Elephas maximus indicus: one gene and its partner. The protein of the gene in region 1 interacts with the protein of each later gene in a pairwise test. Links are inferred from orthologs where the notes say so. Each region holds a gene or a part of one and is shown in the gene's direction. Other genes may lie near its edges.

Region 1 (10,558 bases):
AGAGAGAGAGACTAGGGTCAGATAACAATGTGTGTATAAATTTTTGTATGAAAAACTAACTTGAGCTATAAACTTTCACTTTAAAGCACGATAAAAAAATTAAAAAATATATTTCTTAAAAGGAGGCTGAAGCAGCAAGACATCTGGAAAACAAAACAAAACAGTGAAATTCTTAGCTTTCTGATGAACTTCTGAAGATCTGATACTGTTACTGCATTTGGGACCACATAGTCACAAAGACTGACCAGAACCTTGATCTATTTAGGACAGAACTGTAGCTTTAAGATTTTAGTAAAAATTTCAGCTTTAGAATAAACTCAGTTTTCTGATCAAAGTGCTGTTCTCTTCCTGTGTTAGTATCTATGGTATGCCTTTGGGAAGGAATTACTTATACTTAACTTTCAGAAATATCTATCACTTTATTGTTGTCATTAAAACGTGTGCATCATCACACGCACACACGCGCGCACACACACACGTCTCCATTTTCCTCATTAATTCTGATGAATTGGTTTGATGCCAGAGAAGCAGAGAAAGATGAAAGGAGTGGTCACAATTGCCTTAAGACTGGGAAAGGCTGTGAACTGCGATGAGGCTCTTCCCTCTTTTCCCTATTTCTTTTGTCCTCCTTTCTTTAGTTGTACTCTCCGTAGCCCAGAAGTAAAATTTTAGCAAGATGTTAAGCTATGCAGAGCTTAAATCTGCCAGTAACACACTATTCTCATAAAGTTGGCTCAAATATTTCAAATGATTTTTCCTACCCACCTTTTATCTTGAGAATTAAAAACAAAAACCCTCTAAATTTCAAACAGCAAGAACTACCCAAGGCTCCAAATCTAAAAATGTGGCAGATATTTGGGAAGTCCTAATGAGAAAATGACTTAAGCTCCTACTTCACCTTTTGGCAGAATTACTGGCAGAATGAAGGAAATGTTTTCCCAGAGAAAAGTCAATCCTTTAAACATTAAAACTGAAAATGCACCACTGCTTTGATGCATTTCAAATACATTACCAGGAAAGACAAAGGAGAAACTAAGACGCATTAGTTTAAACAACATTAAAGAGACTGGCTGGAGACAGAACTCCTGCCCAGCCATTCAAGAAGCAAAGGATCCCCTGGGTTGGATGGCTGGACTGCTCCTCTGTACTGCTGATGAAAACAGGAAATTGTTGCCAATTGCTAATTTCTTTCTAACTAAGCAAAAGGCAGATGAAACACAGACTGGCTGAAGACTGAAGTAGCAGTGTTCTCTGGAAATCAGCATCACGAACAAGGAGTCCTGCTCAACCCTCTCAGTAAATAATGGGGGCTCCCTGCCATCCTTTATTTAGGAACATCTTTGTTACTGTGATAAGAGATGTTCATTCATTCAACCACCTGCCCATCAGTCCAATGAAAAAACATTTATTGGGCACATAGTGTGTGCCAGGCACTGCCCTAGGTACTGTGTATATGGAAACGGGAGAGTAATAAAAAATAAAGGAGTATCATTCTTTTTCCACAAGGATTTCAAAGTCTAGTGGAGACAAAAAAAAAAAAAAAAAAACTCTCCCAGAAGGGGTGCCTCATTGAGCTCAAACAAAGCAGAAGCCACACCCATCCGAGAGAAGAAAAACGAACAAAAATAACCTTTCCTTGGAAAGAGTGAGGAACTTGGAACCAGATCTCAGTCTGAGTCTTGGTGCCTTAATTCACAGGCCAGGTGGTTTGAATATGTTATTTAACCTCTCCAAGCCTCAGTTTTCTGCATAAACTGAGAAAAATAATTCCTACTTACCTAGCAGGGGAGAAGTTTAAACAAGGCGACGCTGTACCCAAGAGCTGGCTCAACAGGGCGAATCAGTTAGGACTGAGGAGATTGATAACTTCAAACCCATCCAGAGGCACCTGGAAAGTAAGGCCTGGCAATCTGCTTCCAAAAGGTCACAGCCTTGAAAACCCTATGGAGCAATTCTACTATGCACGCTTGGGGTTGTCATGAGTCGGAACAGACTCCACCACAGCTAACAACAAGAAGAGGCACAGAGAGGTATCAACTGATCTTAGTGGGACCATCACCCTTGAGCTGAAGACAGAGATGCCGTTGTTTTACAACTGCCCCTCCTTCCCCATAAAAGTAGTATTCAGAGTCTTTCCATTTGTCACTACTGATGCATTTGCGTGGGTGCCAGCAAAAGGAATAACCGGTCAAGCCCTGTGTGACCTTGGGCTCACGCTTCAGATTTCTCAACTATTAAATGAGGATCAAACTTCCTGCCTTAACTATCCGCCTAGTTTTTGTGAGCATCCAACTCGAATGTATATGAAAGCGCCTTGTAAGCGCTGGAGAGCCTTGCAAATATTATGTTTAGCTAATTTTTTCCGTCAACAATTAGGCGTTCCAAATAGAAAGGCATCTCCCAGCTTGCTTTGTCATTCTCATTTCTTCTAGGCCTTTATTAACTTTATAATTATAGAAATAACTGAAATTCTACGGCCATTTCTGGCATCAGATTTTCGGGCCCCACCCAGATACACCACCATGCTGCCCCGCCCGCTCGGGGCCGCAGGAAACAGCCCCTCTCCTCCACCCGCAGGCGGGCCTTCGCCCTTCTAGTGCCACTGAGTTCCCGAAGCCAATCCCCACAGCGCTGGTACACCGCCCCGCCCCTTAGAGAAGGGAAACACTAAGGCGGCCCGGAAGAACGGCAGGAGCGTGAGCCAATCACTGCAGAGGGCTGTCCTCATCCGGCAAGGCCCAGAGGCGGGGTCACCAGTCAAGATAGACAGCAAGAGCAGCCAATAGAATTAACAAGCACTGGGGACAGGGCAGGCGCCGGTGTTCACAGAGCGGTTAAGGCCCCTCGAGCCAAGGGCCCACCGACCCGGCTCGGACTACAGCTCTTTCCTTTGCCTACTCCAGAGTTCTCTATCCCACGGTTGCCGCCTGGCTGCCCTGCCTACGAACTACGGGTGGGGGAGGACGTTGGCGACGGCGGCTGAACCCGCCTGACAGGCCGGGCCAGTGACAAAGAGCCGGGCAGAAACCCGGGAAGCTATCCCTTCGGGGAAGAGAGCAGAAGTCCCTTTAGAAATAGGAAAGATGCAACTCACGTTGTCGATCACGACAGGCTGGTTGGCGATCACATCGTAGGACTCCATCGTAGAGGAATCTCTCCTTCCGAGGAAAGAACTGCCAGCCCGGTCCGCTGCTAACGCCGCTGACACGCATGCGCAGTCTAGCCGCCGGTATAGGGCGGCCAGGGAAGGGGTCCGATTTCGCCTCCAAAGAACTACAATCCCCAGCATGCTTTGCGCCGGGGTTTGCTAAAAGGCCCGTTTTGGAGACCCGCCTCTTAAACATGGATTGAGCGTCCGCATTTCCGTCGCACATACTCTGGGGTTTGTAGTCTCCGTTAAAAAAATAGATGGAGACGCCGATTGATGCCTGTGTTGCATTCTTGGATTTGTAGTCCCTTTGAAAGGTTTCGCAGTGCATGCCGAAGTGTGTAGTCTTCTTGAGTACTTGTCTGTATTTCGTTTAGCATTGGTCAGTAATTCGTGAATGTGGTTTTTACAGATCAGTACTGCCCACTCCACCCCCACCTCACCTGGACAAAATAAGGCTGCCATGTTTTTATTTGGGTCTTTAAGACTTTAAAAAACAAACATCTACCACCATCAAACTTGAACAGAAAGGTCATTTTAATACACATATACACACACAAGAAACTGCAAATTTTCAGAACAAAGGAAATCATTTAAATTCCATAAAAATTTGCTACAAGAGAAAAGCAGTACATTGTGGTTACTATTCCCGTTTTCTCCTGGATAGGCGTAAATTTAGTAACAGATTGACATTGGTCTGAAGACTGGCATTTGGAACTACTGGTAAAGGTGATCTTTTGGTTATTAAAATATTGTTCATCCAAGGATTTCAGCTGCTTCTCTAGTATCATTACAGGAGCTAGAATTGACAAGATTTTGATAGGTGAGGAAACAGAGGTGAAGAGAGGTTATGTGTTACTGCTCTTAAATAAACACTGCATTTTCCTCTTGTTTTCTCTAGGGCATCCTTCTGTTAAAGTTGCAGAGACCCTTTGGTCAATAGCACTGGTAGCCACTCCCTCCTATCCGTTTATCTTGGCACTCCTTCAAGATCATTGAATGAAAGTGTTACTGAATGAAGAGTTATTGTAAACAGGAAAATAATTTTCCACCTCGTGCCTAAGAAATTAAAGAAAATTCTCCCAGATACAGAGAGTAAAGATAATGGGAAAGGACAGGCCCATAGTGGATAATGAATATTGGTATTCCTCAAAGCAAACTGCATACATCTCCTTAAAGCAGAACAAAGAACGAAATTATCATTAAAAACATTTATTAAAGAATTACTAAGTCATATAAATTGACACTAGTTTAACCAACTCTTGTTATTTTCTGAACAAACCTGTAGCCCTGGAGTTGATTCCGTTTCATAGACACCCTATAGGACAGAGTACGACTGACCTTTAAAGTTTCCAAGGTTGTAATCTTTAGGGAAGCCGATTGCCACATCTATCTGCCAGCGGAGCCGCTGGGTGGGTTGGAACCGCCAGACCTTTTGGTTAGCAGCCAAATGCTTAACCCCTGGGCCACCAGGGCACCTTTACTTTCTGACAGTATGCCAAAAAGTATTTATTACTTGTTGACTTATTTTAGGAGCCCTGGTGGCCCAGGGGTTAAGCGCTCGTCTGCTAACCTAAAGGTCGACGGTTCCAATCCACCCAGCGGCTTCGCTGGGAGAAAGATGTCTGCTTCTGTAAAGATTACAGCCTTAGAAACCCTAAGGGACGGTTCCACTCTGTCCTACAGAGTCGCTATGAATCGAAATCGACACGACGGTATGGGTTTTGGGGACTTATTTCAACTTCAGTTCCCTGAATTTGGTCGCTATAGGATCCCTGTGAATCAGGATCGACTAGACGGCAATGGGTTTTAACAGTGTCAGTCAATACGTCCACGGACGTTCAAAAATAGTAGGAAACATTGGATTAATTAATCTATTAAAACTAATGCCACACGGACGAGTGAGCCAATATACTGTCAGATTTATTTAAATCTTGGTTAGTAGCGTGTAAGCTACTAACCTAACCGTAGGTGAGATCACGTCACAGTGCCTTTCGTGGGACCCTAGCACCTCACAGGGTTGCCTCCCTCAATGTCTCTATTTAAACATGTCTTCCTCCCAACACTAGGGGGAGACCAAGAGCCTTGGGACACCCCCAACTCAGCGATGAGAAGGCGGGGCCTATTGTCAGATCACGCCTTTCTCACCTGTGACTGGCACAGACGCTAGCCAATAGATGTCAGCATAGGACGCGTTTGCGGCCCGCCCATTTGAGAGCTCCGCAGCCCCCAGGCACCCTCTGGCCGACTCCGAGGCTGCGGCGGCGGCGGCCTGGGCGGACAGTGTGTAGTGCGCAGGCGCAGACACTAGACCTCGCTGCAGCCCCCTTTGCCTCGGGGAGTCGCACCCAAGAAGTCCGCCCGCTGGCCAGTCAGTGCTCTCCCCCTCACCCTCCCTACCCGGCTCCCCCAGCACCCTACGTGCCCCAATGGCGGAGCTGCGGCCTAGCGGCGCCCCCGGCCCCACCGCGCCCCCAGCCCCTGGCCCTTCTGCCCCCCCGGCGTTCGCCTCGCTCTTCCCCCCGGGACTGCATGCCATCTACGGAGAGTGCCGCCGCCTTTACCCCGACCAGCCGAATCCGCTCCAGGTTACTGCTATCGTCAAATACTGGTATGCCCTGGGCCGCGGGGAGACGGACAAGGGGGCTGGGAAGGGTTAAAGCGCCGGAACGAAGAAATTTGCAGGGGAAGAGAGGAGGAGGAGTAGAAGGGTTAAAGCACTTGCAAGGAGGACTTCCTGCTGCGAGGGGAGAATTAAGGCACAAGTTGGGAATGGGGACAAAGGGGTTAACGGAGCCTGTGGGCAGTGAAGGGTTAACGGAGGAGGGGAGGATGAAAGGTTAACAGATTAAAATGGAGTAAGAACTGGGGTGTGTGAAGGAGCAGAGAGGGGTGCGTTATGAGAGAGGGAACTGTAAACGTGGTGAAAGGAGAGCGCGCCAGTAGGGGGTCATTAGTGGAATAGGGGAAGCTAAGGATGGGGGTCGGCTGAAGTGGGATGGGGAAGGCTAGGCGGGGCCTGGGGAGCATAGGAGAGGGCTTTGGAGGAGCTCGGCTGGAGGAGATTAGAGGGCGTGAGACTGCCTAGTATAGGGGCGACTGCATAGGATAGGGGCGGGTCTGGGGGCCTTCTTGAGAGTTAGGAGGGCAGCCCATTGAAAGAGTAGTGTTTGTGAAGAGATGAGGTCTCCTTTTCATACCTTCTCGTTGAGCTCCTACGTAATACCCGAGTAAAACTTTTGCTTTTGAAGTTTGACCAGCACTCTTCCTGATAAACTTTTTGCTTGCTCTGCACAGTGTTCCTCCTCTGTGCAGAGCTCCCTCTGGCTCTGCAGCTCCTTTGCTCTGGGACATTGGCTAGAACAGGAGCAAGCTAAGGAGATCCATGGTTTGGCTCAGGATTGAAAGGGCCACAGCTTTCCACTTCCAGTAGGAAGTAAATGACGGAGACCTGGGGCTGGGCAGGGAGGGAAGCAGTGCTTTCTGGCCACCCATTTCAGGACTCAGGCATTAGTTTCTCAGGGCAGCTGATATTCCTCAAGTAGTTCTGCTGAGGATCAGGCTGGGTTACAGATGGGTTACGCTTGGTGTAGGAATGGATCTTTTCTAGTTTCCCATCCCTGTTTGCAACCTGTCTCTTCCTACAGCCTCTGGGCAAAACAGGTGTTACTGGGACTCTGGAAAAGAGCCCATCCTCTTGGTCTTTCTGGGCCAAATGTTGACTGAGGAATTGGTTGAGTCCAGCACCACACTCATACAGGGACTGTATTAGATGCTCCCTTTCAGTGGGTCCTGAAAGACAGTTCAGACAGCTAGTTGCTTGGGGTGTGGCCAAAGGGGCAGGTAGACTCCAAGGTGGAAGAGAGTGGATGTCTTGGCTGGTTACCATTCCCATTGGGACTGAATCTTTCTCCTCCACGAGTATGGCTTACTTCCTCTGGAGATGGCAGTCGCTAGGCTGTGCAGAGCTGAGGCTTGCCCCCTGTGCTGGTGGGAGAATGCCATCGGGGCCTTGGGACCAGCCACCTGCTCCTCAGGGAGGGCCATGGGGAGCAGCCTGCCTCTGTCTGGGCAGCCAGGAGGAGGTGTGGCTGGCGGTGCGCTTCTGTCTGGCAGGAAAACTGTTCTTTGGTTGAGAGGAGTTTTTGGAGAGCCTCTGACTGGAAAGCAGCTCTTGCTAACTTAACCAGCCATTCTGATTGTGCCTCTATGTTTAAATATGTGTTGGGAGGAACTCTGTTGAAGTGTATCTTGAGAAAACTGGGTCTGGCTCTGTCATGCTGTTTGTTCAGGTCTCCTTTGAGTGTGAGGAGAAATCCCTCCACAGACTCAGGCAACTGTTTTTGTCTGTTACCCAAGTGGCGATAAAGGATGGTGCTGAATGTGAAAGGTATTGAAGCGTGTGCAAATGACTAAGACTAGTTTGGGCAACTTTTTTTTTTTTTTCTTCCTGCTGCAAGCTTGTTAACCAGGCCAGTACTTAGCTTCAGAGACTGGCCAGCATGTAATGATGAATAAAGATGATTGCACAGCACTTGGTGAGATTAGAAATGCTGCCTAGATGCAAAAAAAATAAGAGGGAGTAGCTCAGAGACAGGATCTTTCCAAGATTCGAACAGGTTTGCATAATTAAGATCCTGAAATTCATTCATACCCCTCACATTTGGGATCCCATGTGTTGCATGGCTCCATGAAGCCTCTTCAGTTCTCTAGCAGAATGATTGAGAGGCTGCCTGCTCTGGCTGTGGCCCAGGGTACTTTGGGATTCCTCTCCTGCAGTGGAAGGATGGCTCTTTCGCTAATGGTGCTGGCCAGGGATGACCTGCTGAAGGCTGAGACTTTGTGAGTAGGGAGCAGAAGCATAGAGGCAGAGCCTATGCCCTGGGTCCATTCTAGTCCTGTAGGTGGCCTGTGGAGTGAAGTCCGGTGTTCGAGGCTCCTCTCCTCTGGAATTAAGTTGAAGGATGCTCTGGTTCGTTGGCTAACGTCTTTTTCTAAGTACAAAATAAGATTATTTTCTACATAGGCATCTGATTCCAGTCAGGTCTGGGAGTAGTAGAACAGAACACTTTGTGCTTGGGGCCAAGGTTAAATTTGTCTAAGTCTTGGCTATTCCCTGCCCTTGTAGTTTTAAGGACAAGCCTCTCCCCTTGATGGGACACCTCCTTGGACATGTGGAGATAGAAAAGGGCTGCAGTGGTATGACACATGGAGCACTGAATACTGAAAGCAGGTTTACCACTTGTTGGTGTATGGATTTTGGCTGAAGGAGAGGCAGGATTGGGAGTTTGTAGCAGAAAACTGGAGCAGATATAGGGCCTGTTGTCATTCTCATCCGTTTAGGGTTCTATAGCTATCATGGAGTCCGTCCAGGGTTCACTGCTGTTTTCTTTCCTCCTTCCCCCCACAGATTGTTCTAAATTCAACTGATTCTGGGATTAGTCAAACGATTTGGTGACACCAGAGCTAATGGAAAAAAAAAAAGCTAATGGAAGACATGGAGATTTGTCCCTTTTCCTAGTCCACTTGGTTGAGATTGTAAAGTATTTGTAGCAGCTTCCTTACAAGTTCTATAAATAACTTAGCATTTCCCAGAGAATAAGGATCTCTACAAAGGCAAATAATATCCTGGCAAAAGAGGATGAAACCAGATCTAATGGTTTTAAATTGTGTTTCAATTGAATCCTGGCATGTTTGCTGGGATCACATGCAACATGTCTTTTATGCGGTGGCTAGCACACCTTGAGCATACTCTTCCATTTGCAAAGTGTACCCCATCAGTGCCCCAGGGGCAGGCAAATGTTTACAGTCTGTGGAATGGTCAGATGTGCAAAGCAGCTCAAATTGGAGGAGTGTTTGTGTGCTAAATGCAGACTTCCTTCCATTGATGGTTTCTGTTTAGTCTGTTTCTCAAGTCTATCAAGGTCCCCTATCCATTTTAAGAAAAACAGGATTTTTTTTTTTAATTTCTCATTCAAAAATTTATACATATATTGTTTTGTGACATTGATTGCAATCCCCATAATGTGACAGCATTCTCCCACTTTCAACCCTGGGTTCCCTGTGTCTGTTCGTCCAGTCAGGATTTTTTTTTTTTAAGCACTAAAGGAAACCCTTATTGAATTAAATCCTCGGAGTGAAATAAAGACTGAATCTTTTCCACAACTGCCTCTCTGTTGGAATTGTGGAGGAAATTTAATGTGGTGCTTAGAGGCCTCCAATCATTGAATGTTGCAGCTCTACCTTTGAGCCAGCAGTCTCCTGGGATCATCTTGCAGATGCAGGCAATCCTAGGGCTCAGCTGGGCTCCTGCTGCAGATCTCTGTGCAGAGCTGAGCTAGCCTAAGTTTGGCCTTTGTCACTTGCAATGATAAAAGACCAGCTTTGGTCTGCAGGGTGCAGGCCAGGGTCTGCACAGACCGCAGGCTTTGGATTTGTTTAGAACAAACTGTAATTAACATAGGGCACAATATAGTCTTTCAGGAATTAGCCCACTAAGAGCCAGGAACGGAGCGGAGCCTCTGCTTCCAGGAACAATGCCCATTGGGGATGCTCCAGATGATCTTTCAACAGAGACCAGTTGATTGACTGATGCATCTCTTGCCTTGAAGCTTGGCATGTTTACCAGCTCCGTGGAGGAGAGATAATCCCTGCCAATCCCATTTGGGATCTGTAATTTGAAACAGCAGGAAGCCAACTAGGCAACCACCCAGTCTGTTGTATTTTTAAAAGAGGTCCTGCCTGTTGGGGGTTGGAAAAGGGAGCTGCTTGTGCTTGTGGCATTGGGCAGCCTCTGGCTATCCAGCTCTTAGTCTTATCCTGGGGAGTGTGGCCTCCCTTTAGCTCTCTTTCATCCCAGGTTCCTCCAGGATATGGCCTTTTGGTTTGCAAGGCAGAGGTCCTTAGCTTGCCATTGTTGGTTTTCCAGGCTCACACTAACATCTCTATGTTTTTTTTCTTCTTTTGCAGGTTGGGTGGCCCAGATCCCTTGGACTATGTTAGCATGTATAGGAATGTGGGGAGCCCCTCTGCCAACATCCCTGAGCACTGGCACTACATCAGCTTCGGCCTGAGCGATCTCTATGGTGACAGCAGAGTCCATGAGTGAGTGTGTGCCGCCTTTCCACCCTCTACCTGCCCATCCTTTAGTCTTGAGCCTCATTATGGAGGTTCTCCTGAGCAGGGGTAGTAATGTCATAGCCTATGAGGTTGTCACTTCTTGGGTGGACCCCCAGCTTTCTGCTCTTTGCCTCTGTCTACTCATGCCAAGGTGGTCCAGGTCAGCACCTAAGTACTGCTCTTCTGGTATAGGAAAATGTCAATGATGAGCAAGAGCTCCAAAACCGTTAGGTTTTTCCAAGCTTGCTTAGGAGTTTAGGCTCAGAGGATAGGCAACATAGCTCAAACCCA
Region 2 (11,037 bases), on another chromosome or scaffold:
CAAACTATCAAGCACTCAACTTGCTGAAAGTTTGGCGGTTTGAACCCACTCAGAGATGCCTCAGAAGACAGGCCTGGCAATTTGCTATAGAAATGTCACAGCCTTGAAAACCCTATGGAGTAGTTCTCCTCTGCACACACGGGGTCACCATGAATCAGAAATGACTGAGTGGGAACTAACAACAAACTAGTTCAGAATAGGGTTCACTCTTTGTGTTGTACAGTCCTTTTTATTTTATTCTTAAATAATTTGTTTTATTTTGTTGTTGCTATTGAGAATATACACAGCAAAAACATACACCAATTCAAGTTTCTACATGTCCAATTCAATGAAGTTGATTACATTCTTCTAGTTGTGCAACCATTCTCACCCTCCTTTTCTGAGTTGTTCCTCTCCCTTTAACATAGAATTACTGCCCCTTGAGCTTCATCTAACCTTTCGAGTTGCTGTTGTCCGTTTGCTACCTACCATAGAGATCGCTCTTAAAAGAGCATAATGCTCAAGGCAGACATTCTTTACTCGCTAAGCTGAACTATTGTTTAGTGTTAAGAAGACTTAAGGAGATATTTTTGGTATAAGGCTTAAAGATTAGCTTAAGGCAGTAGTTTTGGGGGTTTATCCAGCCTCCATGGCTCCAGAAACAGGCCTATGGGTTTTGACAAATGCTAAATGTTGTATGTCCTACATTAACAATATCATACAGAATAGTTTCACTGCCTTAAAAATGCCCTGAGCTCCACCTGTTCACCTCTCCTCTCTACTTCCCCAACTCCTGGCAACCACTGATCTTTTTACTGTCTCTACAGTTTTGCCTTTTCCAAAATGTCATATAGTTGGAATCATACACTGTTGTTTTGCTGTTAGTTGCTGCCAAGTTGGCTCCGACTCATGGTGACCTTGTGTATAATAGAGTGAAACGTTGCCCAGTCCTGTATTATCTTCATGATCTTCACTATGTTTGAGTCTATTGCTGCGGCCGTTGTGTCAACCCGTGTTTCACTTAGCAACATGCATTTCAGGTTCCTCCATGTCGTTTCGTGGCATAATGGAGCCTTTCTTTTTATCACTGAATGATATTTCATGGTATGGACGTGCCACAGTTTGTTTATCCATTCACTTATTTGTCTGTCTCTTCAGTATCTTTCTTTTTTTTTGCTGGTTGTGAAAAGTTGTGCACCTTGGATGCAGATGTGGACATTAGTTTTTTGGTTGTTTTTAATTTAAATTGTGGTAGAATATATATAGCGAAACATATGTCATTTCAAACATTTTTATGTATGCAGTTCAGTGATTTCAATGTGCATCATTTTCATTGTCTTTTAATCTATACGTTTCTTTAAATAGTTTTTTTTTTTTTTTTCCTTGCAATTTTTGCTTTGAAGAAAGTAAGTCATTTTCCCTATTGAGCTTCCACCAGGCTGGATTTTACTGGTTACATTCCTGTGGTGTTGCTGAACATGGTCCTCTGTCTCCTGCTTATCCTATAAACTAGTAGCCATATCTAGAGACTTGATCAGATTCTGGTTTGATTTCTGTGGCAGGAAAACTTTCTGGGTGGCGTGTGCACTTCCATTTAGCTGTATGATCCATCTCAAGTTAATGTTTGTATATGGTATGAGGTAGGGGGTTAGGTTAATTTTTCTCCCCTATGGATATCCAGTTGACCCAGTATCGTTTGTTCAAAGACCAGCCTTCTCCCAGCCACCAGTCTCTCCCCTCTAACCCATCCCTCAACAGAGCTCAGCTCCAGAGCTGACTCCGCCCCTCCCCTGCACATACCCCTCCTGCAGCTCCTTAGATCCCTCAAGACACCACGGCTCTAGCCACTCCACCTGGCACTCGAGGCCCTGCATGGTGAAGCCGCAGTCCATCTCCTCAGCCTCACACTTCTCCGTTCTCTCCAGTCAGCCAGTCGGATACTCAGTTGTTGTTGCTGGTTGCCATCGAGTAGATTCCCATTCATGGTAACCCCATGTGTTACGGACTAGAACTGTTCCATACGTTTTCTTGGCTGTAATCTTAATGGAAGCAGATCACCAGGACTTTTCTTCTGTAGTACCACTGGGTGGGTTCGAACCACCAATGTTTAGGTTAGCAGTTGAGTGCAAACCGTTTTCGCCACCTAAGGACCTGTTGACCCAGCATTATTTGTTGCAAAGACCTTCATCTCCCCTCCACGCACATATACGCTGGATGGCAATGGACTCTTTGTCGTAAAGTAGATGTGGATCTGCTTCTAGACTATTTCATTGACCTGTTGGTCTGTTCTTATGCCAATACCTCACTCTCTTTTTTTTTTTTTTTAATTAATTTTTATTGTGCTTTAAGTGAAAGTTTACAAATCAGGTCAGTCTCTCATACAAAAATTTACGTACACCTTGCTATACACTCCTAATTGCTCTCCCCCTAATGAGATAGTGCAGTCCTTCCCTCCCCTTTCTCTCCTCATAGCCATTTAGCCAGCTTCTGACCCCCTCTGCCCTCTCTTCTCCCCTCCAGACAGGAGATGCCAACATAGTCTCATGTGTCTACTTGATCCACGAAGCTCGTTCTTCACCAGTATCATTTTCCATCCCATATTCCAGTCCAATCCCTGTCTGAAGAGTTGGCTTTGGGAATGGTTCCTGTCTTGGGCTAACAGAAGGTCTGGGGACCACGGCCTCTGGGGTCCTTCTAGTCCCAGTCTGACCATTAAGTCTGGTCTTTTTATGAGAATTTGGGGTCTGCATCCCACTGCTCTCCTGCTCCCTCAGGGGTTCTCTGTTGTGCTCCCTGTCAGGGCAGTCATCTGTTGCAGCTGGGCACCATCTAGTTTTCAGGCTGATGTAGTCTCTGGTTTTTGTGGTCCCTTCTGTCTCTTAGGCTCATAATTACCTTGTGTCTTTGGTGTTCTTCATTCTTCCTTGCTCCAGGTGGGTTGAAACCAATTGATGCATCTTAGATGGCCGCTTGCTAGCATTTAAGACCCCAGACGCCACTCTCCTAAGTGAATACCTCACTCTCTTGATTAATGTAGTTTTAGAGTAAGTTTGGGTATTTAGTGGTATAAGTTCTCCAGCTTTATTTTCCTTCTTAAATATTGCCTTGGTTATCTTAGGACATTTGCATTTCTGTATAAAAAACCAAAGCTGTTGCCATTGAGCCTATTCTGACTCACAGTGACCCTACAGGACAAAGTAGAACTACCCCGTAGAGGTTCCAAGGAACAGTTGGTGGATTCCAACTGCTGATACTTTGGTTAGCAGCCAACCTCTTAACCACTGTGCTGCCAGGGCCCCAGTATTTCTATATATGTTTTAGAATTATGCTTATCAATTACCACCAAAAATAATCTTGTTGGGATTTTGATTGTGACTGAATTTTATTGATAGATCAATATGGAGAGAATTGACATCTTAACAATAATAAATTTTCTAATCTACCAGCATGTTATGTCCCTTCATATATTTAGTTCTTCTTTAATTTTTCTCACTAATATTTTGTAGTTTTGAGTGTAGAGATCTTATATATCTTTGGTTATATTTACTCCTAAGTATCTTTTGATGCTTGGTATTTTTTGAAGCTACTGTAAATGGTATTGAAAAATTTTATTTTCCAATTGTTTGCAGCTGATTTGAGGACTCTGGGTAGTGCACAAGGTTTGCGCTCGGCTACTAACTAAAGGATTGGTGGTTCAAACCCACCAGGGCACCACGGAAAAAAGAGTTTACAACCAAGAAAACCCTATGGAGCAGTTCTACTCTGTAACCCATGGGGTGACCGTGAGTCAGAATTGATTCAATGGCAATGGGTTGGTTGTTGGTTGGTAGCTAATTTATAGAAATGCTATTGATTTATACATATTTACCTTGTATCCAAAGAGCCCTGGTGGCATAGTAGTTAAGCGCTTGGCTGCTAACTGAAAGGTCAGTGGTTTGAACCCACTAGCCACTCCGTGGGAGAAAGATGTGACATTCTGCTTCCGTAAAGATTACAACCTAAGAAACCCTATGGGGGCAATTCTACTCTGTTCTGTAGGGTTGTTATAAGTCAGAATCAACTCAATGGCAACAGGTCTGGTTTTTGTTTTGTTTAAAAATGTTTATGGAAGGATGAAATGGGGTCCTGAGGGAGCAACCCATAGGTTGGTTGGGTGTCCGTCCCCCTGGGAAAGCTTTCCCATTTCCCCACCATGTCCTCCAGGCTCAGCCCAGTGCAGGGCACGTGGCGGAGCCCAATAGGTGTGGTGGAAGGAATGAGGGCCTCTCTGTCCCTATCCAGCCCTGCCCTGGGCCTGGGCCTGGCCCTGGCGGTCTATGGGCTTGGTGCTCAGGCTTGTCTGCCTGTCTTTCTGCAGAGCCGCCCTCCATGCGCCTGAAGGCCCGACCAGGCAGCCCCGGCTTCTCCGTCCTCACCTGCAGTGCCTTCTCCTTCTACCCCCCGGAGCTGCAGCTGCAATTCCTCCGGAATGGGCTGGCGGCTGGCACCGGAGAGAGCGACCAGGGCCCCAATGGCGATGGCTCCTTCCATGCTTGGTCATCACTACAAGTCAAAAGTGGCGATGAACACCACTACTGCTGCGTTGTGCAGCACGCAGGGCTGGCGAAGCCCCTCACGGTGGAGTTGGGTGAGGTCCCACCGGATAGCCCATTGCTGCAGCAGGTTTTCCTGAGTCTAAGTGCCTTGTGCTCCAAACCTGTTGCTGTTGAGTTGATTCCGACTCATAGCAAACCTATGGGACAAAGTAGAGCAGCCCCATAGGGCTTCCAAGATTGTAATCTCTACAGAAGCAGATCGCCAGGTCTTTCCTCTGCAGAGCGGTAGATGGGTTCGAACCACTGACCTTTTGGTTCCTGGCTGAGCACTTAACCACTGCACCACCATGGCTCCTTAGCTTGTGCTCAGCTATTGCCAATTCTCGGAAAGCCTGACAGCCTTCTATCCTGTGTTGCTTGTCCTTCCCAAGCCTGACTGCCTTCTATCCAGCTGCTGCTAGGCCCCATTGAGTCTGACCAGATATTGACTACTATGGTCAGTACTCTCTGAGTCTGGCCACCTTCAGCCCCACTGCTGCTGGTCCTCCCTGAGGCTAACCACCTTCCATCCTGCTACTTCTGGTCTTTATGGAGTCTGGTCAATCACTGTCTGCTTCTGCCAATCCTTGCCAAGACTGACCATCTACTGCCTTGCTACTGCCAGTCCTCTGTGAGTCTGACCTCCTATTGTGCTGTGCCTGCCCGTCCTCAGAGTCAGAACACCACAGGTCCCTTGGCAAGACCGACCACCATTCTTCTTGCTATGGCTGGTTCTTCATCTAACCTGGGGACACTCTGCCCAAGCCTAGGACACCCCGACACCTTTCCTCTGCTCACTCCCATCCCCAGACACTTGGTCAGGACTCTCTGGCTCGGGGGTGTGGGAGCCCCCATTTCCCTGTCCTGACTCCTGGGATGAGACTTCATTCACCATCTCATACCTTCTCTGGCTGCAGAATCATCAGCCAGGTCCGCAGTACCCGTGGTTGGGATCGTCATCGGACTCTTGCTGCTCCTGGCAGCAGCAACGGGAGGAGCGCTGCTGTGGAGGAGGATTAGGGCAGGACAGCCAGGTGTGGCGCAGGAGGAGAAGCAGCCTCAGAGAAGGGAGCAGAAGCCAGGGGGTGGGGAGGACAGAGACCCGGAAGGAGGACAGAGACCCAGAGAGAGAGGGGGACAGAGACCGGGGAGGGGGGACACAGAGACCCGGGGCGGGGCACAGAGACGCAGAGAGAGGGACAGAGACCAAGAGAGCGGGGGGCACAGAGACCCAGAGAGAGAGGGACAGAGACCCAGAGAGAGGGGAACAGAGACCCAGATAGAAGGGGGCAAAGATCCAGAGAGAAAGGGAGGCAAAGACTCAGAGAGAAAGGGAGACAGGAACCTAGAGACAGAGAGAAAGAACATGGAGGAGGGGTGGACAGGGGCGGGGGTCTCACAGTCTGATGAACACACCTATTCCTCTCTCCTCAGTCCCTTGGATCGCTCTCGGTGCTGATGATGTCGGGGCCCTCCTACCCACTCCTGGCCTCCCCCAGGAGGCTGACTCTCAGGATAAAAACACGTTGGCAGACACTGCCTGACTAGCCTCCATTCTGGTTGCCACCAGCTAATGCTGTGGGGGCCCTTTCATGCTGTGCGACCTCAGGATGGAATCCTGGCATCTCTGAGCCTCCAGAAGGAGTCTGGGCCTGATGTCCTCCCTCTGGATCCTTCTTCCTGCTGCCTGCCTCAGTTTCCTTTCCTGATACATACGGCTCTTTTCCACATCCACATATAATATGATTTTGGGCCTGAATTGATTGTGTTCTCGTGATTTCAAGTTTTCGGGCATTTCAGAATGGGCAATAGGGGGGATGTAGGAGGAAATGAAGGTGGTGGAAGACCTGGGTTTCAAATCTCACCTGCAACTTACTAACATGTTGTCATGTGGAATCTGACAACTTTATATAACAGGTCATACAATTTTCATTCACAACTTCCACAAATTGAGTGACCACTCAATGGCAATGGGTTTGGAGCCCTGGTGGTGGAAGTGGTTAAATGTTTGGGTGCTAGTCAAAAGGTTGGCAGTTCAAATCCATCAGCTGCTCCTTGGAAATCCTATGGGACAGTTCTACTTTGTCCTATAGGGTCTCTGTGGGTCGGGATTGACTCCACCGCAGTGGGTTTGGTTTTTTTTCACATTTTGTCAGCCCTTTTGAAGAGTTCTTGGCTGAATCTCACCTGAATCCCTCTTGATACAGCAGAAGAAGAGAGTTGTTTTCTCCTTTGAGGGAAGGGGCTGCCTCCCTTGGCTCCCGGCCTTTTTTGGACCACCCTGACAAAAGGAAATAGATAAAAATACATTTCCCATGAGGCCTCGGGGCCAAGAAAACTGGAGGTAGTCGAACAGGGCGCCCCGAGTCCTGCTGGGGTTGTAGTTCGCTCAGTTCCAGTCGTTCCGACGTCTCCTACCCCGCCTGCCCTGGAAAGGGGCAGGGCCGAGCCTCGAGGGCAGTGCTTTCCTTTGTGGACGTGGCGTGGGGCTCCTGTGCCCCGCCCGGCGCTCCTTGGCCCCGCCTCTCAGGGCCCTAACACGCGCTCATTGGCCGGGGGCGGGGCCTCCGCTCGGCCAGAGGCGGGGCCAGGCTGGAGTGAAGCCAAGCTGGGCATCTTTTGGGGAACACTGAGCGGTGCGTAGAGAGCGAAGCCTGGCTACGTAACGGGGTAAAGGGGTCCGAGGGGTGCCCAGGGAGGGCGGCTTGGGGTGGCTCGGGTCGAAGATCAGCGTCCCGATTGGAAGCGATCCTAGGGAAGTCAGCCTGATCTCTCCCCGTCCACGGCCCCGCCCTCTTTTTGCGTGGGATGTGCGCCACGTCTTACCCTGGAGCCCCTTTACTTGTGGGTCTGGGAACCCTATGGACGCCCTCAGAAGATGAGGTTCCCATGCTGGTTTTACCTCCGCGAACCCTGCCTCCTTTCACCCATACCCAGACCTTCCCGAGGCCAAAACTTTGCCGCCTGCCCTGTCATACCCTCTCACCCCTCAAATCCTGTCCTCTTCCCTCTGACCCCGATCGCTGGCCTCCGCCCCTCTGCAGGGACTGACAATGTGGCGACGGTCATTTCTGCTGCTACTGTTGCTGCTGGGGCCTGGGGCCCAAGGGAAGCCGTCTCCCGACTCAGGCCCTCATGGCCAGGGGAGAGTGCACCAGGCGGCCCCCCTAAGCGAGGCCCCTCATGACGACGCCCACGGCAACTTTCAGTACGACCATGAGGCTTTCTTGGGACGAGAAGTAGCCAAGGAATTCGACCAGCTCAGCCCTGAGGAAAGCCAGGCTCGCCTGGGGTAGGAGTGATATGGCGATGGGAGTGGGGTGCAGTGGTGGGGGTGGGGTGACAGAGAGATTGGAGCATTGGTGCAAAGACAGAGGCAGGGGACCGGTAAGGAAAGATGGAGGAGACCTTGGTTCTTGTTGAGAATCCACTAACGAAATCCTACCTCCCCTCCTCAGGCAAAACAAAACTAAGTAAAAATTGAGGCCTCAAGATACAACCTTTGAAAGCAGGAAGGTCTGAATTCAGCTCCTGTCCCCTCAGTCACTTTTTGTTCCTTTTCCTCAGACACCTCCCCTCTCTGAGCCTCAGCTTCCTGCTCCGTAAATGGGTCACCAGGATTCCTTGGCATGGGGCTGATGTGAAAAATAACAAGATTCGTCATGTAAAGAGGACAGCCAGAGCAGGAAAAGGGCTGAGCCATGAGTCCCAGGGTAAACTGGGCTAAAAGGGGTCTCCCCACGAACCTGAGAGATCCTGTGCACCCCGGTATGGGGAGACAGAGCCAGAGAGGGCCTGGGGGCAGTAGGCAATGCAAAGCCCCCTCTCTATGGTGTCCCACTACCGCTCATGCATCCCATGAAGGTCTATTGAGCGCCTGCTGTGTGCCAGGCCTTGCACAGGTGCGGAAGTTCCAGCAGTGAACTAGTCTGGCAAAAATTCCAGCCCTCATGCGGTTTGCATTGTAGAGGCCGAGACAGAACAATACGTATAAATACATCAGTGCATTAGAGAAAAAGGGCAAAGAAGTGAAGTGGAGAGGGGGGAAATTGCAGTTTTAAACAGGGTGTTCAGAGGAGGCCTCAATGACAAGGTAATAATTGAGCCATGTGGGTGCCTGGGGGAATAGCATTCCAGGCAGAGAGAATGGTATGTGCAAAGGCTTTGAGGCAGGAGTGGGCCTGGCACGGTTGAGGAATAGGAAGGCTAGTGTGACTGGAACAGAGTGATCAAAGGGGAGAGGAGGGAGGTAAGGAGCATAACAGAGAGAACTAGATCATGCAGGGTCACCTGAGTGCACAGGGCACCATAGGAAGGTTCTGAGCAGAGGAGGGAGGTGGTCTGATTTAGGCAGGCTGGGGAGCAAGGAGAGGCAGAGAGATCAGTGAGAAAACAGCTGCAATAGTCCAGGTGGGAGAGAAGAGATGATGGTGTATAGACCAGACTGGGGACAGTCGGGGGCGGTGACCAGATCTCTGCACCCCACTGGTTGGAAGACTGTGCCTGAATGCGGTCAGGGGAGGAAGGGTAGTGAGAGTTATCCTATCACATTGATCACATTTAGCCAGGGATTACTGCAGTGCCAGCCACCGTTCTAAGTGCTTTACATAGGTTAACTCATTTAATCCCCACATGGGGTGGATACCATTATCTATTCCCATTTCGCAGAGGGGGGAACCAAGGCACAGAGAGATTAAGTGACTTGCCCAAGGTCACACAACTAGCAAGTAGAGGCGGTGGGATCTGAACCTAGAATGCCTGGCTGTGGAGCCCACGCTCTTAACCATAGCTCCAACCTCAGAGAAGGGAGTGAGTCCTGGGGACAGGGCCAGCCCCCGAGTGACCCAGGCAGAGACAGACTGGTGTGGGAGGAGAGCGGCGACCGGGCGGGAGCAGGGAGAGCGGGGCTGTCTTGGATGAGACCTGGGGACTGGACAACAGGGGCTCCGTGTGGGGTGTGTTAGCGTCTGCGCGACGGCTGGACCGTGGCAAGGTGCGGCCAGGGAAGAGAAGCGGGGCTCCGAAGCTGACAGGTGCGGGTTGAGAAAGAGGGGGCGTGAGGGGGGGCCTGGAGGGGTTTGATCGGCCCGGGGAGCTGCACAGGAGTATGCCGGATCCTAGAGAGGGCTTGGGAGAGGAGGGGCTCGCTGGTCCAAGGGCAGGCGGGCTAGAGCGGGAAGCCGAGAGGGGAAAGGGGCTGGGCGGGGCGTGGGGCGGGGCTGGGGGAGGAGAGCGCTGAGACTGGCAGAGCCGGGGAGGGGGCGGGGCCGTGGCAGTCGGGGCCGAGCCAGTCGTGGGACTTGTGTCCCGCTCCCTGTCCCACCCCAACTCAATCAAGCTTAAGGTGGATGGAGCACGTGCTGGGTCGAAGGATGGGGCCGGAGTGGAGGGTGCGGCCCCGGATTGACGTCTGTCCTCCCCCACGACCCCTGCGTTTGGTATCGTCCATAGGCAGGAAAGGCGTAGTTTGCCGTGGGGGCGGAGCCTAGATGGAGGGCACTCGGTCCGGAGGTGGGCGCGGTCCCGAGATTAACACGTGTCCCTCTCCAGTCTGCCGACGGAGCGTGGACCGTCTTTTCAGCCCTATACAGGGGTGTGTGGGAGTGGGGGCGTGGCTCGACGGGAGGAGCGGGGCCTAAATGGGATTGGGTGGGGCCTGGGTCTGACCTGTGCCCCACCCCTGGCTCGCAGACGGATCGTGGACCGCATGGACCGTGCGGGGGACGGGGACGGCTGGGTGTCTCTGGCTGAGCTCCGCGCGTGGATCGCGCACACGCAGCAGCGGCACATACGGGACTCGGTGAGCGCGGCCTGGGACACATATGACACGGATCGCGACGGACGTGTGGGCTGGGAGGAGCTCCGCAACGCCACCTATGGTCACTATGCGCCCGGTGGGTGGCAAGACCTCGACTCCTGCTCCCTCCACACACACCACTGACCCTGACCTTTTTCATTCCCTCATCCTGCGTACTAGAATCCATGACCTTTTGACCTCTGACCCCAAACCAGGGTATCCCCCTGAAACCTTCAACCCATGATGTCTGGTCTCTCACTCTGGCATCCACGACCTGTGACGCTGTGACTGGGGGACTTCATATCTTTGACCAGAAACACCTAACTTTCATACCCTGTCATCCTGGTCTCTGACGTCTGTGACCCCTCCTCCTGAGAAACCCAAAGCCATTTTCCCTGTCCCCGACTCTTTTCGGTCCCTCTTCTCTGTCCCCGGAGCCCTGGTGGTGTAGTGGTTAAGAGATCAGCTGCTGACCAAAAGGTCGGCAGTTTGAATCCACCAGACGCTCTTTGGAAACTCTATGGAGCAGTTCCACTCTGTACTATAGGGTTGCTCATTATGAGTAGGAAGCTACTCTACCGCAAAGGGTTTGGTTTTTGGTTATGGTTTCTCTGTCCCCACAGCCTCAGTCCTGGCGCCACACAGGCTTTGTCCCCTCCATCCTAGACCGTTGTCCCAGGCTCTACC

The links.
Region 2: the proteins of SUFU (region 1) and RCN3 interact in binary tests that used the Homo sapiens proteins (3 or more experiments, as listed by UniProt). The two-hybrid records come from large-scale screens. The link is inferred for Elephas maximus indicus from reciprocal best matches to the Homo sapiens genes SUFU and RCN3.

Annotation. Positions count from the first base shown.
Region 1 is NC_064834.1:54,065,634-54,076,191, forward strand, and holds the start of SUFU (suppressor of fused homolog), read left to right. Parts: upstream 1-5,384; 5' UTR 5,385-5,577; coding exon 5,578-5,759; intron 5,760-10,117; coding exon 10,118-10,252; intron 10,253-10,558. Other genes in the region: ACTR1A (alpha-centractin), read right to left, coding at 3,095-3,142. UniProt on the Homo sapiens protein: Negative regulator in the hedgehog/smoothened signaling pathway. Down-regulates GLI1-mediated transactivation of target genes. Down-regulates GLI2-mediated transactivation of target genes. Part of a corepressor complex that acts on DNA-bound GLI1.
Region 2 is NC_064829.1:99,992,786-100,003,822, forward strand, and holds the start of RCN3 (reticulocalbin-3), read left to right. Parts: upstream 1-7,098; 5' UTR 7,099-7,189; exon of another isoform or gene 7,190-7,223; intron 7,224-7,597; 5' UTR 7,598-7,606; coding exon 7,607-7,845; intron 7,846-9,853; exon of another isoform or gene 9,854-10,042; coding exon of another isoform or gene 10,043-10,146; intron 10,147-10,244; coding exon 10,245-10,447; intron 10,448-11,037. Other genes in the region: FCGRT (IgG receptor FcRn large subunit p51), read left to right, coding at 4,337-4,606, 5,471-5,587, 5,988-6,097. UniProt on the Homo sapiens protein: Probable molecular chaperone assisting protein biosynthesis and transport in the endoplasmic reticulum.